Linked DNA regions of Drosophila melanogaster. The protein of the gene in region 1 interacts with the protein of each later gene in a pairwise test. Each region holds a gene or a part of one and is shown on either strand. Other genes may lie near its edges.

Region 1 (9,478 bases):
GGCTAACACACTCCCACACACCCGCGCACACATGACGACCCACAGGAGCGCCGGGAGCGGTCCACAGTGGAGCGGAAAACGGTGCAGCGGATGTACGCGAGCGTTAACACTTTCGCTTTCTTGTTCCAACCTGGCGCTGGCCGCTAAACAGGCGCCCAGAAAGCAGCACCAGCAGCAGCTGCAGCATGTTGCGGCGGGAGCGGGCCAGCTATAGAGCTCCACCAGCGCTCCGCCCATCCCGCTCTGGCCCGCGTTCACTACTCGCACACACTCGCTGCAAGAGAAAGATGTGAAAGTGTGCGCTCCCGCTCTTTCTCTTTCTCTATCTTAGGGTGGCCATGAGATGGCAATGTCCTTGTGTAAAAAACAGTTTTTGGGCTCAGGCGCTCATCGAGGAGCAGCAGTCGACGAGCGGTGCTGGATTGCGGCGAGTGTGCACACGCACAGTGAACCCTCGCTGGCTGGCACCGCGGTATTTCCAGCGCTCTCATTTCGATGCAGTTAGCCGGTTAGGTGCATGCAATATACATACATATATATACACATGTATCATTGGGTAATCGAGACAAATAAGCATGTAGGACTGGTTGCACTCCGTCAGGTTCACTGCGTCGAATGAGTCCTGTGTCCCAGCCTAAAGCACAACTTGCGCAGTTGTCCATCTCCAGAATTCACTGTACTGGCTCTGTGGAAGTGCGGGAGTTTCGAGTGGGGCTGCCCCTTGCATCCAAATCCAAATCCAACGGAGCTTCTGCGGCGGCTGCTGCGAGCCTGTTCAAAAATCGACTGACTAAGGCCCCTGAAATCGTCGCACGGGGCCTCTGCAGAAACTCATTAAGCGCTTTTATCTCCGCTCCGTCTCTTAATTCTTTTCTTTCTGGCCAGCCCATGCCAGGCCAGGGCAATTAGTGGAAATTGTGGGGCCCACTCCCAGTGACCACAAAAACACAGGGGCCTTCTTCATTAGCTGCGCACATTTCGACCTACGATTTTCGCAGCGCATATCCTTCTATCCTATTACGCTAACATCTTCTTAATTAAAAAGCTGACAACGCCGTCTCCGGCCACCATGAACCCGCCCACGTCTCGCCGCCAAGTCCGGTGGCAGATTTTTAATTGCTTAATTGGAACTGCGTGAAAATCCCGTTGAGAATGGCCAGAACGCATCCCCGAACGAAGAGCCGCCACCACATCACCACCACCACCAACAAATCGCCTGTTGCTGGGCAATTAAAACGCCATCGCAGATGAGGGGCGGTGCTCAAGGTCGTCCAGCCGGAACAACCACCACGCCCTAGATACGCCTCAAACCCGGCATGGAGATCAGGCGCCCAGTAAACGGCAGAAGCGACCCAGCAAGGACTCGAGGACGGGGCACGAGATGCTGCTACGCACCGCACGAGATGCAGGATGCGGACGCGGATGCGCAGGGTTGACGATGCTGCAAGATGGCTTCGTGGCTTGGTAAGTGGGTGGCCCAGAGCCCCGGGGTAAAGCTCAGTCGAAAAGCTCGTGGCGAGAAAGCTCCAACCACCGCGATGGGTGGTCGGGCGCGGGGGAATCCCATGGGATGCACTGCCAGGTGTTACGCAATCAGCCTTGTTCGACATCCACCCCCTTTTCTTAGTACCAAAAGCACGATCGAAATACAACCCCACCGACTGTCCTTGTGCAAAGGATATCAGTAGCTAGAGGCTACAGGCTCGGGCGACATGGAAGCCAGAACTCCAATGACTAGAGCACCCCGAAATGTGTTTATGGGCAAATTGAAGTCGCTACTAACCTTTAAGGCTTGATATGAAATGTTATGATACGTGAAAATACTTGAACTTGAAGATGGTCTTCAAACATCCTTCGTTTCTGACGATGAAACACACGATGATGACAATGATCTTGAACTCTCTGCCGATCTCGACTTGTTTCTTACAATACCTTGGGAATAATTTTGAAAGCAATCGAAAATAAGCCAAATTAAAAACGAACTTATAAGTAATGTTAAATAATGAAATAAACACCTTAGGTTCCGCACAGCGAGTGCTCCACTTGCCGCCAACCCAAATCATTCATTCGAAATCCACTCCACGGTTCATAAGTTTATTTTGGTGGTCGCTCAAAGGAAGCCACTCATAAATTTGATGTACGTACAGGGGTGAGCAGATGATACCCGGATGCGGAGGCGTCGCCCTCTGATGCGGTTCACCATGATGCGATCCAATCCGATCCGATCCGATGCTCGCTATCGCTCTGGTCGCTCCTGCAGTCCATGGTCCAAGTGCCACCCTGGTACGCTTTGAATTTTGTATAATTGTTGCCTTGTTGCCTTTTTGGTTAGTCATAGTTCCATATAATACGGTATTACATAGTATATAGTAAAGTATATTATGTATAATGCATGTGTATATGTGTATATAAATTTAGTTAACATTAATTCACCAAATACTCAATTTCTCTCCATCTTCTTTTCGTGGTCTTCACCCACTCAACGTTAGTCCACTTTTTCATATCGATGCCATTGCGCGCTCGTGTTCAATTTTATAAAAGTTCAGTTGCCACTCTTTGTTGTGTTCGAAACGAGATGGGTTAATTGAGATTGGTAAGTCGGGTGTTGTGGGCTGGGTGTTCGGTGCGTGGTGTGGGTAGTGGGGGGGAGTTGCGAATAATGGGGGCATAGGGTCTGACCATTAGTCTTTGGCACGTTCGCATCGACGATAGCGATGGAGCTGATATGTAAACGGAGTTTCCTCGCTTTGTGCTTGTGAGTGGAAGGGGAGCGGGAAGTGACACCATATTGGTAATTGCACTACATGGGCGTCTCTCTCATGGATACTAGCTATGAACGAGGATCGGACTGAGATCTCCTCGAAATCACTGGGCTTCAAGTGGAGTGGGGGCTCTGGGCGAAGTCGTCTGGGTGCGGTAACAACAATTCGAGCTGGTCAGTGGCTAAGTCTATGGTAAAACTCTTGGCTAAAACATTCCTTGATTTAGACTGGCCGGCCGGCAATGGGGTAACGCGGAGATTTTCGCTTTTTGGCATCTTTGTGCAATCGAATGCTATCAATGGAATCTACTATGCTGAGATTGGTTTCGTTAGTTAGTTCAATTCAAGTCAACAAACAATGCGCTAAGGTTGTAACGTTTGCTAATTATATATCAATTATATATACTTTTAGGTTTCTTTCGCTCTAAGGTTTGCGTATTTTGATAAATTTGTAATATATTTATAAGGCCGCTTGGGGCAACTGCTATGAGAGTGCTAAAATACTCATACGGGCTGGCGATAGCCGAAGATCTAGATAGATGCAGGGGTCTTAGGGACAGTTACACTACGGATAATTGAAGCAAAATCTTCCCGTTCTACCTAGACTTTCTAAAATCTGGGGTCCCAGAACCAGAGTCCTCCTCGTCTCGTCTCCTCATCTCACCGAATCGTTTTCTCTGCATCTGCACCTGGGAGGACTGTTTGTCTTTCTAAGCTTGTTTTTGTCTAAATTCATTAAAAACTCACTCGGCAATCTTTGCACAATCTCGATATCGTTTTCGTTCTCGTTTTCGTTCTCGATCTTGATTTTTGAAACACGTGCACATGTGGGGGCTGTGGTATGTTTGGAGTCTTATGTGGTAGTCGTTAATCAAGTTAGAATAAATCGAAGGTACGAAAAATACAAAGTGGATTCGTATTAAATATATCCAGTACAGTTAGGGGTTACGAGTTACGAATAAAACGCGTATTACGTAAACAAAATTGCATAACAACTTAGAATTATGAGGGCACAGCAATCGAGTGTGTAAACTATGTATGTACAGCTCAGGCGGAGCAGGTGAATGGCGAGGGACAGGGTCAGATACAGGCTGTTGCCTAAACTAAATGTAAACGTAATCGTAAGACGTAAAAGTAAAAAATAAATAATAAATTAGGATGCAAGATGCAGGGGTGCGGGGGGCAGTGCAAACGGAACGGAACGGAATGGAACGGAAACGGAAAAACAGAAAACAAACGAAAAGTGAAATGCACGCCAACTCGGATGCTTTAAGGGGCGCTTACTTCGCCGCTGCGGAGGCGGAAACGGAACCGGGCGTGGCCGACAGCGCCATCTTGGAGAGCGTGGCCAAGGAACGTTTCGGGAACGTGTTGCTGCCGTCCGACGGGTCCGAGAACAGCTTCCGGAAGCTACAATGCAGAAAGTGAATCGAGAGCTCTACGCCGATTGAATGCCACTTACAATTTGCGTATTCCCGACTCGGAGCTCTTCTTCCAGGGCGCATCGTCCGGCTCGTAGGGCAAAGGGCCCTGCACGGGCGCATCGTGTCCAGGTGGCCTGAAAAGCGATGCACTATGTATGTACTTAAGTAATCATAACTAGGGATAGTAATTAGCTATAAAAACTCAAAAATAATCAACATATAGATCCGAATCCAACGATTTGTTTGACTCCCAATTGTGCCATTTACCAGTTACCTGCTGACCTTGCGAAAAAACACGCAAATATATACGTTTAAGCTCTGAATCACCTGCCAATTAAACGTTTGCATCATAGGGTCTATTTGAATATTGTTAGCACTGAGCAACAACAAAAGAATGACTCAGGCTGAAAATGCTTGTTCGTTAATCACTTTGACTCAAGCGGTCGTTCATAAATTCTTGTTTTCTCTGGTGAGGGACCACAAAACTAAAGGATGTAACAGAAATGGGCTCACTCACGTTTCTCCGGCCGCTGGTGGCTCCAGCTCGTTCGCCTCGGCAGCCGCCTCCTCCTCGTCGTCGTCATCATCGTTGTCCGCCACGTGACCATCGTCGTCCTCATCGCTATCGTCGGAGCTGGAGAAGTGACGCTGCCGCTTGCCCTTCGCCTGGCTTGGTGGCTTCAGCTCCGCCAGCTGCTCGTTGAGGGTGTCGATGGTGGTCAGCAGCTCATCGCGCTCGCTAATCAACTCTTTCAGCTCGCGCGTGGTGTACCGCGGCCGGTTGGGATCGTTCTGGCCATCGTCGTACGAGGCCACCAAATCCTCATTCTCCTTTTCGGCCAGGCCCAATCGCTTGCGCAGTTGGTTGATCTCCCGGCTCTGGTCCTGCAGCTGGGCAAGAAAGTCGGCGCGCTCCTCGCACAGCGTCTTCACTTGGGCCTGCATCAGCTTGTGGCGGCGCCGGGTATCTCGCTCTGATGCCTTCAGACGCTCCGCCTGGATATTGAGCTGGGAAGGGTTAGTTAAGAATACGTTAGCTGGGAATATGAGCACCTATCCTTAAGGACACTCACGTGCTCCAGCTCGCTGTACTTGTCCTGCAGCTCACGCTCGCGGTGCTTCAACTCGTCGCGCTGCTTGTATATCTGCTCCTTCAGCCGTTGCAGCACTTGAGTATCCGAAAGAGCGCTGTGCAGCTCGTGGTTGGTCATGCTGATAATGCTCTCGGTGAGACTGGCCCCCAGGCCGGAGCTCTGGGCGGACGATGACTGCAGATCCTGAGTCTGCTTTACCAGCCGCTTGTTCTCGTCTTGCAGCGAGGAGACGAGATCGACCAGCTCGTTGGTCTCGCTGCGCCACTGCTCTTCGATCAGCTCCAGCTCCTTGTCGAACCGCCGCCGGAACTCGGCCTTCTCCAGCTTCTCGCTCTCCAGCTGGGCCACCTTATCGCGCAGCTCCTGGATGGTGGCGTTCTCGCGCTCGTTCTTCGTGGCCAGCGCCTCCAACAGCTCCAGGGTGTTGATGATCTTGGGCATCAGCCCGCTGACGGCGTCCGTGCCGAAGCGGTCCATGATCCGCTCGTACTCCTTGCCAATGTCGGAGGCCAAGTCGTACACATCGACCACGCCGATGTCGTCGATGGCGTCCAGGACCATTTCACCCATCTCATTGAGGTGAAAGCCGGGCATCCAGGTGGTCGCTCAGATAATCTGTGACTCCTGCCAAGCGCTGTATCACTTGTTTACTTGCTCACACTTGCTCACTGGACTCTGTGTTCACTGAAGACCAGCTTCAGTTGTCGCCTCTTTCCACGGTGTCCTGCTCCTCGGAGTTGCTTCGGGAATCGCTGCACCAGCTGACAGGGATTTTTCTTTCGCTAGCAGGACAAGTGTGCGTGTGCGTGTACGTGCGCCAGGTGTTGGTTTTCCAAGTGCTTTAAGGGAGGGGGGGAATCCGCAATCCGAAGTACGGAATTCGCACTTCGCAATTCACAGTTGGCGCACACAGACTGCACAGTAGTGTGCGTGGGAGTGGCAGTGCTCACTTCATTCACTCTAGTTGTTACTGCCGCCGAGTCGCTTTTCGCTGCCGATTCCCACATAAACAATCCGACTTTCCGCAATTTATTTGCACAATTTTTGCTGAACCGAACTGGAACTGATGAGTAACGAATAACTGGTTCGCGGGCGCCCATATGTGCGAACCAGTTCCCAGATGAGCAGTCGGTTGCGCAGTCTGGTAGCGCTTTGTGCTGGCTGGTCAGTGTTGGGCAACGCCAATTCGTTTGGCGCCAAATGAAGAGCAGCTTAAGCGAGCAAAATGAGCGTAAGTGCCAAAATGTTAAGCCTTAAACGAAATTTTACTATCCAAAAGTCAACAGGCTGGGCCACAAAGTAAATTCATTGTTTTATTAATAAGTTCTTGTTTACAAAATTGTATAAATAGTTTTGTTTTCTTGGTTTTCAGTTTCGTTTGGTGTGTGCTTCCTTGTAAATTGTGGTTACTGGGTCTGGATAGGCAATTAATTGTATTTTACACGTACAGTAGCACTAACACTAACTAAATGGTTTGTGTGCCACATTTACACAGTTATGCAGCGGCGACTAGCAAGTTTCTTCTCTTTACACCATTTCAAATCATTGGTTTGGTTTCACTGGTTCATTAAGTACATAAATTAGCTACAGTTCCTTCAATGCTTTCCTCGGGGGAACAATCTAAGCGATATAAAAAAATAATACACAAGTTCTCGGCTAGGCGTAACAATTTCGATTTCTTTTCTGTAGCTCTTTCGTTCTTCACTTTTGACTTTAGGGACTAGATTAGGAACCACATTTGTACATTTCATTTTCATGCGTTCTTAGCTGCTCGATCTCTAATTAAGTAAGTAAGTAAGGTCTAGTTTTGTAAAGTAAATGTACATTCAAGATAGTCACCTTCTTCTTCTTATTCTTTTTGGTAGCAGCTCGTAGGAAAACTTAAAAATAAACACGTTACATGTATAGAAAAAAAAAGGCAATAAAAAAATAGGCGACGCAAGACATTTTAAAATGAGATGAATCGCTATGTTTCAGTTAGGCTGGCAAATAAATAGTGGGTCGCGAGTGGTTATGACCGGTTATTTCAGCAGGTCCTTTGGCAAGCATTTTCGATGGCAAGGCCCCAATCTTGGTTTCTGTTTTGGCACTCAAACTGGGCGTAAATAAATATATATGGTAAAATTAATGTTACAAAGTGGTTGCGTCAATCCATGGTAGCAAGTATAAAATTAGCAAACTAGACAAAATACTAGCACCCCTCCTGGGGATCCTGATTCTGCTGCAGGGCCAGCTGCCTCAGGAGCTCGGAGGTGACTTCCTGGCGCTTCGAGCGCTTCGCTGGCGGCGGAGAGGAGTGGGGCGGTGTATCTGGCGACGACAGGCCGCCCACCACGCCAACATCCCTGACCAAGGCATCCTGTGAGTCATCTTCGTCTACATCGTCTTCCTCGTCTTCGTCGGGTAGCGTCAGGTCCGTTATGGCCTGGTCACGGTTCTCGCCATCGTCCTCCGACTGCTCGTCCTCCCTAGACCGCCCATCATCTATGTCCACTATCGAGATGATGTCGCTGTCGCTTTCGCTTTCGCCCGCAGGACCCCCGACTAGTTCGAACCGCCCCTTGGCTGCGGACTAGCTGGTGCTGGCCTGCGTCTGCAACACATTGGCGGAAGCGGACGATGAGGCACTAGCGGCGGTCACGGCGACGGGCGAGAGCACACTGGCTCCAGGGAAGTGGCACGGGCACGCAGGATTGGGCATGTGATTCGCCTGACTGTTCAGCTTGCGGGTGAGCGTCTGCCAGTATTCGATTTGGGCGTTGATCAGGTCGATTTTCCGCTTGCTCTCCTCGATCCTCAGCGAATTCATCAGCTCCTGGTGCTGGCTCCTCGTCCCACCGCTGCCACTTCCTCCGCTGCCCGACGTGTGTGCCCCGCCGATCCCCAGGCCCACGCCGCTGTTGTTGGCACTGCTCCCGCCGCTTCCGGCTCCGGATCCGCTGCTGTTCAAGGCGCTGCACACTGTGCCCGCCACTGCCAGTCCGTTGTACCCGTTGAAACTGCCCGCCGCCCCGATGGCCACGCCTCCTGTCTTGTCCCGCGCCAAATGGTTGTGCGTCATCTGTGCGTGGTGGCCGCCGTTGAGCAACAGTTGCACTCCATTGGAGGCCACCGCGGAATTGCTTGTGCTGCCGGCAGTGTGGTGGCTATTGTTGATGTTTCCGCGCTGAAGGCGTGGCAACTGCAGAGTGGGAGGGGTGCGGCGGCTGCTAATGGCGACCGATGAAGATGGAGCGGCGGACCCATAGGCGGCATTGATGGCCGCCTGCAGAGACTGAGCCGGATTCACGGCGGACAATCCTAGGCCGTTCAGCAGCGTGTGCTGCTGCACTTGCTCCGCTGTGAGCGGCAGCACTCCACTGGCACTGGAGCCGCCATTGCTGGCCGCTGATAGGACAGCTCCTGTGCCGGAGCCGCCGTTCTGCAGCGTCTTGTTGATGTTGGCAAAGCTGCCCACGCGTATGTGGCCCACGGTCTGGATAGTGATGTCCGGTTTGGGCGCTGATGCGTAGCTCCCGCTGGAACTAATCGAGGTCTTCGTGGAGCACACGGGCGAGCTTGCGGCGCGGCGACTGGTTTCGGTAATCCCGTTGCTAGACATGTTTCCGGGAAGGGAGCCTCCGGAGACACCACCGCCGGCGGCTCCGGACGATCCCACCTGCTGCAGCTGGCGCACGTCCGTTGGAAAGAGCACGTCGTCCTCCTCCTCGAGGCACACCTCCGGCGCCTTGTGGCTCAAGCAGTCGTCGTCATCGTCCTCGTCCAGGCAGTCCATGCCATTGTCCGTCTGCTCGTTGTCGCTAATTGTCTCCGACTTGATAAGGATCACGTCCGTGTCCATGCCCTCGTGGTAGTGGGGCATCTGCAAGTGTGAGGAAAATAAATGATACTGAAACCATCATGGACAGCGTTTTAGTAGGATTCACAGGGTTCAGAGAGTCAAGAAAGTAGAAAGCTATTCATCTGGATTAGTGGGTTAGATGAAGTGCACCACGTTCACCAAGTGGACCAAGTGACTTGAGTCTTGAGACTTAAGCACCGGATGGGACACTTATGCACAGATCTGAATTTTAAGCCCACCTTGGAGTCGTCGTAGTCGTCCGATTGGTGTCCGTTTCCGCCTCCGTTGCCCGCGCCGCCTTGCTTACCGCCGCCGCCGCCACCGCCCGCGCCCTCCGGCGACAGCTGCTCGGCAATGT
Region 2 (7,261 bases), on another chromosome or scaffold:
ATTTGTCATTATATAATCAGCACAAGTCGCACAAATCGCTGAAAATTAAGCAGAAAGAACTAAGCACCGTCTGCCTTTGTGGCATCAGCAAGAATATCATTTTTATTTTACACGTCGAATACAGTGGGGTTCATAAAGTTAAAGCGAATAGAGTCACAAGCCATTTATTCGAAAGACTTCCACTTGTCTAACCAATTGATTCTGCAATAATTAATCAGCATAAAAAAGTCGATTCAATTTGCTATCGCTGACAACTTCAGATCAGATAAACCCACTTGCAATTAAAGACCAGTCAACTAATCAGTTAATGAATACGTCAATTCAATGACAAACAACGAACCATTTGTTTCATCACTTCTATGTATAGTATATCAATTAGTTGTTTTAAAGCTATGAACCGCACTGTCCATTTGTCTTTACGATTTTATACGACATCTAAGCACAGGGCATATGCGTAATGTTCGCAAATGTTTTCGGCTTGTTGTTGATGCTCGTTTATAGTTTTGGTATGAAAATTTACGAGCACATCGTTAGCGGTATATTTTTCTTTTTTTTTCGGAGATTCGCCTCGAGTTGTGGCCGAATGTTTGGCTTGTGGCAAATGGCTGCGAAGCGAGATGCTTATCGCTGGCCCTGTTAATACCCCGCATTTAAAAGTGTAATTAACGCAATTTGAAATATGAGGCGAGCGACAAAACGAAAGACTTAGGAAACGAACGCGCAATGTGTGCGGCAGGAAGATTGCTACGTATTCGGACTTCCAAAGGAAGCAGGAAGCTACAGAGACATGGGGCATGCAAGCATTTGAGCATGACTCACTCAATCGCACGGCTCGTGCTTGACGCGTATTCCTGGAAGTCGGAGCCCTTGTCCACCTGCTCCCCTCCTCCGTGGCTATCCTCCGGTAGCAGTGACTTGATTCTGCACACAGAATTTCTAATTAGCCAAGGGCCATGGCACCTCGTTTTCCAATATTTATGCGTTCATAGGGCTGTCTGCATCTATCAATTGTTAGCCTGCAACGTCTGCATTTGGGTGGCCGACTAATGCTGGTCGTCTTGACTCTATAAATTACATTCGAACAAGTGTTTGGAATATTTGATGCTTTCAATCGCCGCAATCTCAGTTATTTGTAATTTATGAGACTCACTTGGGGTTTTGTAATGTTTTTATAATTTGTCTTTATTGGTTTTTCATTTATTTTTCGTTTTATTGCTGTTGTTTGTATGCCTTGCTCGTTATCAGTTTTCAAAATTTGGTTATTGTAGTTTATAATTTGCATTGCTGTTTCATATAAATTATCATAATTAACTAGGTGAATGTTAATGAGTATAGGAAAAGCGTGACAAGGCTTAAGAATCGCAATTCGGTTTTTTGGCTGCAGCTAGAAAACCTCAACAATTTTTTTTTTGCATATTTTACAATCAATCATGGAATTTCTTTAACTATGGCTTTCACTTGCTTAATTGAATTTACATTCATATTGTTTTAATATATATTTATAGTTTAAAACGTCTTTATAATTTATGCTTTTCCGCTGCTTTCGCATTCCAGTTTTCGCTAAGCAAAAATTCCAGTTGAAAATAATCCGCATCGAAGCATATAAGCGAAATGTAAAATATATAATGAATACAAAAACAATAAAATTAAAATATGTGTGAGATATAGTGCCTAAGTGTGTGAGTGTAGAGGGTACGGAGTTGTGTGTATGTCGGTGTTCGTTATCTAACGACTTTGGCTTTTCGAATGTTGAATTAACCACTGCAGCGTGATGTCAATGTTGTCCTTCTCCTTGCAGGAAATACTATAACAGCAGATTTCACGGTCCTGTATGCTCGATAGATTCCTGCAATTTATTTTAAATGATTAATTTATAATTTTTAAATAGTTTTAACAATTTTAAGGCGCTCACATTCGTTCGATGAGTCCGGTTTCATCGAGAGCGCCTGGAAGATCTCGTTTATTGCCCAGCACGAGAACTGGAATGCCGGCGAGCTGCGGTTTGTCCAACAGTGAGTGCAGCTCGTTCCTCGAGGCCTCTAATTTGTCCAGATCGGCTGCGTCCACCATGTAGCTGTTGATTAATACATTACAGTGTTACTTGACTACCGATTGTTGCTTAAGTATCATTATTGCTTACACAATCGCATTAACGCCGCGACAATAGCGCTCCCACATGGATCGGAATCGAGGTTGGCCTCCGATGTCCCACACCTTGATAGTCACATTGCCTCTGGTGATCTTGCGCATGTTGAATCCAACTGTGGGTATCATGTCCTCAGCGAATTGGCCGGACTACAAGAAACAAAAATAATTAGTAAGTAATCGTGTCTTAAATAAAATACAACTTTTATATTAGCAAAGAACAAAGCCTAGAAGTATGCAATCCAAAATAATGTAAAACTCGTGTAAAAAATTGATTTTTTACACATGACAGCATCCAAAACCTTAAAAAATTTGTTATTCTTTTTGAAAATGCTCTTAAATAAATAACTATTGTAATATCTTAAAGTATTGATCAAACAATGTCTTTTGGTACTAAATTTAATTCAACATACAACACTTAAATTGATAATTGATTCTAACCCATAAATCTTTGTTCTGTATCAGCATCAATCACCTTACATATGCATTCAATAAGAGAATCGAAAGCTCCTAAAATGGCAAGATGTTACTTCTGTGACTTAGTTTAAATTAAAAAGGTATACTATAGGTTAGCAGTCGCTAGTGAAATGGGAAAAGTGACTAATTGGCGCCACCCACAAGTTTGTTTTCATTCCGAACCTGAACATTACACTAATGCACGAATCTGAATGCAAACACGGAATTGGAGTCTAATAGCAGTGATAAGCAGGGGAATATTTCCGTTTCGGGAGCACTTGAACAAACAAATTTCCCGTAGATGCGGGCAGACATTTGAATCGAATTCACATGACTCATAATAAGTCAGGCGGTCACAAAGGCAGTAGTTACTCCACCTCCCGCAACGACTGGCAAGTGTATGCAACTATCTACGAGTTCCAGTAAATGGTAACTTGAGATCGTCGCATTATCAGCGTGCAGAAATGTGTGAAAAAAACCAGGGAGGCGGTACGGGAATACGGGGTCAGGGGTTGAAGTGCTGATAATGGCGTCATTGTGCGGAGAAACATGCGTATATATGGGCTATATGTAGGTTTATTGATTACAGCGGCAGGAACGGTAAACTTTACCACTAAAAGGAAACGGTTAGCACAGCGTTAATTACGGATGCAGTGAAAGAAACTGGGAGTACGAAAAGATAAGAAATAAACAATGTTAGAGTGGGGGAATCAAGCTAAGACCAATTCCTTTGTCACTGGGGGTTTGTAATGCTTTTTAAGTAGTAGCTGATCCCCCGGCTTTCCGTGAACCCCCTCCCCACCCACACAACAGACAACCACACACAAAAAAAACCACCCTCTCACCCATACACCCACACGAATTCGCACACACCCACTGCGAAAATACTCACTGCAATAACATTGACGAACGTCGTCTTCCCGGAGAACTGCAGCCCCACTAGCGTGAGTTCCATCTCCTCTTTCCAGAAGATGCTCTTGAACCACTCGAGGATCCTGTTGATGAGGGCCAACATCCTGGGGCAGGTGTGTTTCTGGTCGGGATCTGCTTGAAATTCGCGAAAAAAGGTTTCCTTTTCCAAAGAGCGTAAATGTTGTCGTGAAAAAACAACTGGGCAGGTCAGTGTGGCCAAGTGCGCGGTAGTGTACTTAGTAGTATTCGTAGTGAATGGTAATCGTTTATTTCAGCATGTATCCAATTAAGAGAAAATAAAATTCATATGGTATATATATATTAAGTACAAATAAATAATATTATGTCTTCGGGTTTCATCGGGAATATTATTAATAAATTGCATTTAAAATATATGTGAAATCGCTACTGGACAATATTTACTGTACTTGCTATCGATAACGTGTAACCGATTTCCGTATAGTTCGCTGTGACTGGCAATTAAGGCAGAAGAAGTTAGTAAACAAAATGGTAAGATGATGTGAAAATTTTATTAATTTTAATTAAATGAATAATACATGTATATTTTCAGGCGCGCAATGCAGAGAAGGCAATGTAAGTAACCCGGATATACGTATAACATAAGATTTCCAGCACTCATCCGCTTATTTTCGACAGGACAACTTTGGCACGTTGGCGGGCCGCAAAAGAAGTGGAATCTGGTGAAAAGGAACGCCGGCCCTATTTGGCCTCCGAGTGCCACGATTTGCCCAGATGTGAGAAGTTCCGCCTGGAGATAATACGCGACATATCGAAGAAGGTGGCCCAGATACAGAATGGTACCTATTTCGGTTTATTTATTTCTCCCTAACAATATACACTAATAGCGACCACTTATAGCTGGCTTGGGAGAATTCCGGATTCGCGATCTGAACGATGAAATCAACAAGTTATTGCGTGAGAAACGGCATTGGGAAAATCAGATATCCTCATTGGGTGGCCCCCACTATAGACGCTATGGTCCCAAGATGTTCGATGCGGAGGGCCGTGAAGTTCCCGGCAATCGAGGCTACAAATACTTTGGAGCCGCCAAGGATCTGCCGGGTGTTCGCGAGCTCTTTGAACAGGATCCTCCGCCGCCACCCAGGAAATCACGCGCTGAACTAATGAAGGACATAGATGCCGAATACTACGGCTATCGAGATGACGAAGATGGTGTTCTGATCCCTCTGGAGGAACGCATCGAACGAGCGGCCATTCAGAAGGCCGTGCAGGAATGGCGGGAGAAAATGGCCAGAGATGGTCGCATAATCGATGACGAAGAGGAGGATGAAATATATCCCCTTTCGGGACCAGCACGCGAAGCCATCGAGGATGCCAAGGCTCGAGCCGCCGTGGAGGATCCTCATGGCCTATTGGCATCCAAGTTCACCGCTCACGTTCCCGTGCCGACGCAACAAGATGTACAGGAAGCACTGCTGCGCCAGCGGAAACGGGAACTGCTGGAGAAATACGCCGGTGGCACTAACTAAGCTCAATAAACATTCTAAACTCTTAGTTTGATACATTTAAATCGCGTGTTCTTTTAACACGGCATGTTTTGGGTTATGATCATCTATAATTGGAATAGATAAATAGTTAAACAATTTTTGGCAAGGCACTTCAATGCGCTCTAGTCTCTTATAACTAGAAAATGTAGAATGAATCAGTATTGAAATTGATCGAAATTTCGGCGTCCGCCGCCACGTCCGCCTCCAAAACGACCACCTCTTCCTCCAAAACCGCCACCTTCAGCAGCGCGCTTGTCCTTCATGGCTTTAAAGCGTCTAGCCATGTTGTGCAGTTCGTCGGGCACTTCCTGCTCCGCCTCCTGCAGTATCTCAATTAGTTCCTTGGCCATAGCCCAATCCTCGCGCGTAAAAAAGCTTATTGATGTGCCCTGTCGGCCAGCACGTCCGGTGCGACCAACACGGTGCACATACTCCTCGATGTTGTGCGGAAAATCATAGTTGATGACATGTCTTTGTGGATGAAAAAATAATGACTAATGGGTTCCTCGACTCGAAAAATTTGCTTACGTGATATCCTCAATGTCCAGGCCACGTGATGCCACATCGGTAGCAACCAGAATGCGCACGACGCCGGACTTAATATCGGCAATAGCCTGCTCACGATCCATCTGATCGCGATTACCATGAATGCACTGGGTCATGAAACCATCCAGCGTAAGTTCACTGGATAGGTCGTCAGCACGAACCTTGCGTCCACAAAATATGATGATCTTGTCCGTACTGGACATGTTCTTAACGAAAGATGTAATGGTGTTGAATTTGTCCATGTCATCCTCCATCAATTTAATAATTTGTTTCACCGAGTGCGTGGCTGCCAGATCGAGCGATCCGACACACACCTGGATGGGATTCTTCATATAGCTCTGCGCTAAACGACGTACTCCTGGTGGCCAAGTGGCCGACGTCATTATGGTCTGACGGTCCGGACGTATGTCTAGCATCACCTTCCGGATCTGCGGCTCGAAACCCATGTCCAGCATGCGATCTGCCTCGTCAAGCACCAGATAAGTGATGGTGCTTACATCAATGACATTGGCCATTATCAAATCGTTCAGGCGTCCCGGAGTGCAGATAATGATCTCCGCACCGCGCTCCAAGTCGGATATCTGCATGTTGCGATTGCCACCGCCGTACACGCAAACCCTGCAAATTGTGTTATTTTGGTTAAAAAGGGAACTCACTTCATGTTCGATTAGGATAATTACGCTTTCATGCCACGAAAGGAGTACTTCTTGACCTCCATTTCGATTTGCAGAGCCAACTCCCGAGTGGGTGCCAGCACCAGAACGTTAGCTCCGCCCCTCGTGCCCCTGGGCGTGCTCTGGTACTCGGTGTGAATCATTCCGGGCAAAAGGAAGGCTAGTGTTTTGCCAGTGCCTGTTTGGGCGATACCGATCATGTCATGACCTTGGAGGAGAATGGGCCACGCCTGCGATTGGATGGGCGAGGGCTTGGAGAAGCCCATTTTGGTAATCTCCTCAAGCATATCTGGATATTCGGCAAAGCATTGCTCGAAGGTCCAAACTGGATTTGGAATAGGCGGTGACGTTTCCCCCTCCTTTGGCTCGAAAACATAAGAAACTGTTATCTTGTTGTTCTCCTCGCGAATGCGCTCAATCTCCGATTTTGTCAGATTGGCCACTTCAGGAGCCTCCTTGTAAAAGTTCTTTGTTAGCGGTGGACACTTGGACCACCGTGCCGCAGTAGCTGCTATCTGTAAGGATACATCGTTTAGAACGTATAATATCTAATTTTTCTTTTGTACTCACCGAAGCTTTATTCAGGGCTTCCCAATCAATGATGCCCGTAAGATCCCCATTGTCCTTATTGGACTCAGAAGAAGTGGGATTGAACTCGTAGCTATTCCCCTTGTATCTGTCGTATCCGCCTCCGTCATATCTTTCATTGGAACCGTGGTCCCTATTATCGCGATCCTGTCCCCTATCACCCGAATTAGTGACCTGCTTGCGAACGTGATTGATAGCATCGATGACGTTGCTCTGGATGCTACCAGTTATCTTGACTATTAAGTCGCACTTGTCCAATTTGACGCGGACATTGAAGTCGTTCTGGATCCGGGATATATTGGAGCCCCCTCTTCCAATAACTTTTCCGACCATCTCGGAAGCGATGCTCAAGGATTCGCTAAAGTCTCCTCCTCCTCCCCCGGCACTGTCGCGACTATCACGATGCCCTGC
Region 3 (5,862 bases), on another chromosome or scaffold:
AGCCATATAGACAGAAACATCCAACAGCCAACTAGCAGCAAATATACATGCGAAAGTTTAGCAATCTATAAGATCGAAAAAGGATAATATGCGGTGTAAGGAAATTTAATGAATTTGAAAAGCAGTAGGCAGCTGAATTGCTCATGGCCGTGGAGAAGAGAAACCAAACAGAAAGAAAAAAAAAACAAAACAAAACACATATGTAGCATATTAATAATTATGTATAGTAAGGTTTATGATAACATACACACACTCTTATATACATATATTTAACGGTTTTATATACAAAAATTGTTAACATTTAAGCATCAATTGGAACCAATATAAGACAACAAGCAAAACCTAAAACTTGAATAATTTTCACAATTTTAAGATGAAAATTTTTTTGTAAAAAGAAAAATATCGAAAAACAGCCGAAAAACAAATTTGATGTGTGGAAATAATAATTTATAATAGTTCACAGATAGCTCGAATCTTAAAAAGAATTGTAAAAAAATCAGTGGAATGTCTCACAAAATCTAGTCAGCATCAAAATCATGAAAAACAAATGGCCGAAAGGCCATTAAAAAAATTCATTACCACTAAGAGTCAGCGTTTAGTAGTTCATACCAATATTCAAAAGGCGGAGAACAACATAATTAAGCCCAGTTAAAAGTCTAGACCATGTGTGTACTTTAATGAAACTACTTTATATAAACCTAGCAAATAGCGTAAATAACATTTTCAAGACGTCACTAAAAACAATGCAAACCCGAGCGGGCAACCGTTTACTAGAAAGCGAACAACAAATTAGCTAAATCATATAAAACATTTATAGAGTGTTAAAAACTAGGCGAAAACCCTCCATTACACTTCTCCCCAATTCAGCCTATTGGCAACTCGAAACGCCCTTTAAATCACGCTCAATTATCCCCGCCTGATAGGATCCGAGGATTGCAGCTCCTCCAATGCTAGTCACTAATGTTCACAAACATTTTCTAAGCTAGACCGAAGATTGTGTAATAATTTGATAAGACCTTTGTGTGGTTTCATAGCAAAATAACGCACAAATCGATAACAAAAACTCTCAACAGTCCACAAATCTCATGCTTTTAAAACAAAAGAAATAATTTTACTGAAACCAAACAGCTGGAAGCTAGAAGCTGAAAGAAAACCAAAGCCACATCCTACGTTGAATAATTTACCTGTATAATATTTATGTCATTTCGTTAAACGCAAAATGTTAACATACTTTTAAAGCGCGTGTAAAACGGATAGTTAATAAAATAACGACAACAATATTTAAAAGAACATATACACTCGATGAAAATGAATATTAAAGATCGAAAAAAAGAAAAAGGAATCTGTTATTAGTAGGCCGTGGGTTCAATAAGATCTTTTCGAGTATGATAGGTGTATTTCGTTTTGTGCCTCCAAAATTTCAGATATTATTCAGCTACACACAGACAGGCCTCCCAAATTTGTAAGCTCTGTAAATTCAAAACCAGAACTGCTGCAGGCCAGTGGCGAAGTTAATTTGTCAGAGGAAAACTCAAGCCATCTCCATGGATAAAAACCACAAGTCGGGTGAGTCAAGCCGAGTGTGGCATCCTTAAGTTGTTAAAACTATGTGTGTTCTTTGCTCCAGAAGAGGGGTTTGGACGTTCAATGTCTAGTAGCAGTCGCCGCGTCATGTGGAAGCTCAACGAGGAGGAGGAGACATTCGACTCCTTGGTCAATTATCGGCGGCTTCCTTCGCGCAGCCTAAACCGAAGTCAGGTGACCGATGTGCCCACCAAGGGACACACTACCTCCGAAAATTGCCAGCTGCCAGCGCAAGAGTTGGAAACAAAGAGCGCCACCAACGAACAAGGTGCATTGGGCATAATGTCGGTTAGCCTACCGCAAACAACCAGGAATTCCCATCAATCGTCGGCCACGTCACTGCCGGAGGCCAAGGGATGCACTGCCACCGAAAACTGCCAGTTGCTAGCGCAAGAGGCGGAAACAAAGAACGCCAGCAACGAACAAGGTGGATTGGGCAAAATGTCGGTTAGCCTGCCGCAACAAAACTGGAACGCCAATCAATCGTCGGCCACGTCACTGCCGGAGGCCAAGGAGATCAGCTCCAAAGAGCAGGCGATCATCTACTGGCGGCGTCTTTTCGATGGTATCCACAAGCGCCAGCGTGGCGAAAGAAAAGTTGCAGCAATGCAGCCCGAAAATACCACAGATGTCGTGCTGACGTCCAAGCCAAACCTGGCATTGCGCTACAAGCCCTCCCATGAGTCGCTTAAAAACAAGCGGATCAAGGACCTGGCTCCTGAACGATGCCCGAGCACGTCCCGGGGATCAACGTCCTGCAAACTGGTATCGGACCTCAAGATGGAGACGTTCAGCCTGCCGCCGCAGCAGACGTGTGTGGTGCGCGAGGTGGAGCCTCGGTTTGGCCAGCGCCGACGCATGTTGTTGGCCAACGACACGGATTCGTGCTACTCCGGCGAGCTGGAGGTCCCCAAAAACAGTCCCGTCCAGGAGCCAGGACCCTATCCGCGCAGCGAACTGATCAGTGTCCATGTCTCGGCGCCCACCAGCTCCTCTTTTACGGGAGCAACACGGCGGAGTCTGTCTCCAACTAGGCAGCGCACTGCGACGAGCAAGGTGGCCGCCGGGACGAAGGGCGGACCATCACCAGCAGTTGGGGGCAACAAGTGCTCGAGCGTCAGCAGCGGGAGTGCAGGTACCAGCCAGCTGCCTAATTTCCGCCAGCGGCAGCAAGAGCTCCATCGCTATCGCGTTATGATCGAGCAACGGCGCCTCGATCTACTCGAGCTCAAGATAGCCCGCGAACGCGAGGAGGCGCTGCACAGCGAGGTTCTGTTTCACAAGGAACTGCAGATCAAGGAGAACATGATCAAGGTGTACGAGGACAACGACTGCTCCAACGCCTAGGACTTCCTTTATTCCTAACTCTTTCGACCCCAAATTCAGAAAGGTATTTTACACTTGGCAATGGCCCTGGCCTCAGTAGTTCAAAACACTCAGTCAAATAAAACCGAAATTCATTTAGACATCCCAATCTAGGTTTTTTATTAACTACCTGAGAAATAAGTATCAAAACTGCAATATATGAAATTCAACTTAGCGGGTAATTTCAAATCTAATGTGCCCGTTCGTTTACAGCACTGGCAGTGTGTGCGCATCGCTGTGAATGGACATTAGCCCCAAACAACTTTTTATTTCATTTGTTTAAACCGAAAACGTGAAATGTTAATAAATGTGTGCCGAGTTTGCGGCAGGAGCAGGCTGTGCCCCAAAGCCGTGGAGCTCTTCAAACCTGGCAGACAGGATATTCTTCGCCGCATCCAACTAATAACCGGAATTCTCGTGAGTTAAGGAATCAAAATGGATCGCGCAATTTACATATGTGCGAGCGCTTCCTTTTTTGTATTCTGCAGCTTCAGCAGATTCCCAATGCTCCGGATATGGTGTGCTTTTGCTGCCAGACAGATCTGCAATCGGCCATGATTTTCCGGAGGCAGTGCATCCTGCAGCAGAAGAAATGGGTGCCATTGCTACAAAGTGATAAAGTGGGAGCCAGCGAGGAAAAGAAGGTGGAACCCAATGATCCCTCAACCAAGAAGAAAACGACCAAGCGGCGAAGGGGGCGACCCAGGATGCCACTGGAAATTGTAGATATAGTCGTAACGAACGAGAGTAAGGCTTCAGCAGGTGAATCAGTTGGTGGTGATGAATTTGATCAGCCGGTGGAGATCTCCAATGAACCGGATGCCACCGATAGCGATGTTAATCTGGAGGAAATAGATCTTCCGGATGAGGATGGCTTGGAGTCGGATCACGATTTACCCAATGTTCAAATCCACAAGTGCGATACTTGTGGAATTATCAAAAATAATAAATCATCTCTGGTCAGGCATCAGTTTGAACATAATGGAATAAGACCATATCCCTGCAAGTAAGTAAGAATCGCGACGAAAATATACATTTACTGATACTTAAATAGGTCCGTCGTCTTTATCTTTATCTCTTCGTATCTGGTCCATTATCACGATTTGATTAGCATACATTGTGCCTACATACATACATATGTATGTAAATTCTTTTTCTTTGTACAGTATCTGCAATATGTATTTTTCAGGGAGTGCCCAAAGACCTTTCTGGTAGCGAGTGAGCTGAAGGCACACAATCTCACCCATCACACCTTGGAGCCCCCGTTCGCCTGTCGCTACTGCGATCGTCGCTACTTCTCCGTGGTGGGCAGGAAGAAGCACGAGCGGGTCCACACCAACGAGCGACCATTTGTGTGCGATCAGTGCGGCAAGGCCTTCACCAGGACCTGCATTCTGAAGGCCCACATGGCGGTCCACCAAGTTGTAAGGAAGTATAGGTACTTGATGAAATTAAAAAAAAACATGTCGAGATACATTCTGTTATAATCTTTCATTCCCGTTTTAGTTGCGATGTCTGCGATCGTTCGTTCAGCCTGAAGAAACATCTCGCTACGCACTTCATCTCCAATACCCACAAGCGGAATGCTGAAGCCGTCACCTCGTCGTCGGAGTACATGTCCATGCTCAGTTTTGAATCGGATGAAACCTGGTCCCAAGGCACTCCACTGACCACTTCCATTGACGAGGATCTGGTGCAGTCGCAATTCGACCTTTTGTGTCAGGAAGTTTAATACATCTCAAGATGCCATATGTTTTATCAATATACCAAAAAAAAAAAAAAAATTTAGGTAAGAGCTAACCCACAAAGACTTAATAACAGCTGAAACCACAAAAGACAATATCAAATATGGGTCTAAAAATATTGGTGACATTTTTGTAATTCCTTAAAACTCAGCAACAAAGAGACAACTTGGGAACAAATTTAGCTTTTTTTAGCACGTAGTTTTTAAAAAACACTTTACAGTGGCCATGTTATTGCAAATTTTAGTTTTTGCTATTTTTTTTTGCGTAATTTACATCTGCATTGCAATTGCTTCCTTGAATATAACAAAAGTGCCTATATAGTCTTATCTTATACATACATACTTTATTGGGCTAGTTTTAAAATAAAATATATTCAGACATGAGGTACAAAAATGAACATTGAATTTAGAATCAAATCTTTTTCGAAATACATTTTACGAAACATTTTACGTGGATTATTTCGATTTACCGAAACAGAAATATGAAGCTATATGTTTTGTTTTCAAAAATTGATCCTGCGCATTATTAGCATGCAGGTCGTACTTATTTCAAGCACCCATGAAATGGTTCAGCTTAACGATTTGACCAATATTATTTACACCTATTATTAAGTTTTAATATTATAAGCAGTATCTGTTTTATCAGACTGCTCCAGTTGTTAACAGATCAATAGCTATTTAAATAAAGATTTTGACTTTCAAAAATCCCCGCCTTGAATGAATAATTTATCTGGTTTGCCTCAAAATGTAATCACCATACAATTGCCTTTCCATCAGTCGAGTTTAGTGATCGAGATGCTGAACATCGTGTGTAGAGTCTGCGGAAGGCAGAAAATCTGTGAGAAGAGCCTGAATCTCTTCGATTTGGTCAACCGAAAATATCTAAAGCACTTGCACATGATAAGCGGACTAAGAGTGAGTTAAAAGACGTTTTAAAATTGAGATAAATAATATCAGCACCAGTTGGTGGATTTGGACGATGTTCCTGGTTTCATGTGCCTTTGCTGTCAGGCGGAACTCAGATCGGCATTGGCATTCCGGAAGCTTTGCATTAAGACCCAAACTAAATGGCTAACCATCGAGGACGACTCTTCGTCGGGTGATGAAGATACCAATGACAATTCGGAACTGGAATCGGAAAAATGCGCATTCAGCGATTTTGGGAAAAA

The links. The genes of interacting proteins can lie anywhere in the genome.
Region 2: the proteins of Rilpl (region 1) and Arl8 interact in a two-hybrid assay, tested with the Drosophila melanogaster proteins (one study listed by BioGRID).
Region 3: the proteins of Rilpl (region 1) and nom interact in a two-hybrid assay, tested with the Drosophila melanogaster proteins (2 studies listed by BioGRID).

Annotation. Positions count from the first base shown.
Region 1 is NC_004354.4:1,389,939-1,399,416, reverse strand, and holds Rilpl (Rab interacting lysosomal protein like), read right to left. Parts: upstream 6,364-9,478; 5' UTR 5,874-6,363; coding exon 5,259-5,873; intron 5,194-5,258; coding exon 4,703-5,193; intron 4,335-4,702; coding exon of another isoform or gene 4,320-4,334; coding exon 4,224-4,319; intron 4,172-4,223; coding exon 4,046-4,171; coding exon of another isoform or gene 4,042-4,045; exon of another isoform or gene 3,865-4,041; coding exon 3,732-3,864; 3' UTR 2,080-3,731; downstream 1-2,079. Other genes in the region: CG32813 (uncharacterized protein), read right to left, coding at 7,852-9,168, 9,360-9,478. UniProt on the Drosophila melanogaster protein: May have a role in lysosome distribution by interacting with Arl8.
Region 2 is NT_033777.3:8,123,075-8,130,335, reverse strand, and holds Arl8 (ADP ribosylation factor-like 8), read right to left. Parts: upstream 3,732-7,261; 5' UTR 3,617-3,731; coding exon 3,494-3,616; intron 2,296-3,493; coding exon 2,141-2,295; intron 2,075-2,140; coding exon 1,913-2,074; intron 1,847-1,912; coding exon 1,726-1,846; 3' UTR 501-1,725; downstream 1-500. Other genes in the region: CG9667 (uncharacterized protein), read left to right, coding at 4,021-4,023, 4,085-4,107, 4,171-4,331, 4,393-5,024; CG7878 (uncharacterized protein), read right to left, coding at 5,198-5,513, 5,571-6,206, 6,269-6,777, 6,833-7,261. UniProt on the Drosophila melanogaster protein: Required for normal functioning of the late endocytic pathway including lysosome motility and late endosome-lysosome fusion. Not required for the delivery of lysosomal membrane protein-containing vesicles to late endosomes.
Region 3 is NT_033777.3:8,719,996-8,725,857, forward strand, and holds nom (numerous disordered muscles), read left to right. Parts: upstream 1-3,178; 5' UTR 3,179-3,246; coding exon 3,247-3,366; intron 3,367-3,437; coding exon 3,438-3,955; intron 3,956-4,138; coding exon 4,139-4,387; intron 4,388-4,455; coding exon 4,456-4,681; 3' UTR 4,682-5,362; downstream 5,363-5,862. Other genes in the region: CG11760 (uncharacterized protein), read left to right, coding at 1-2; CG8136 (uncharacterized protein), read left to right, coding at 1,545-1,566, 1,628-2,931; ouib (ouija board), read left to right, coding at 5,489-5,608, 5,657-5,862.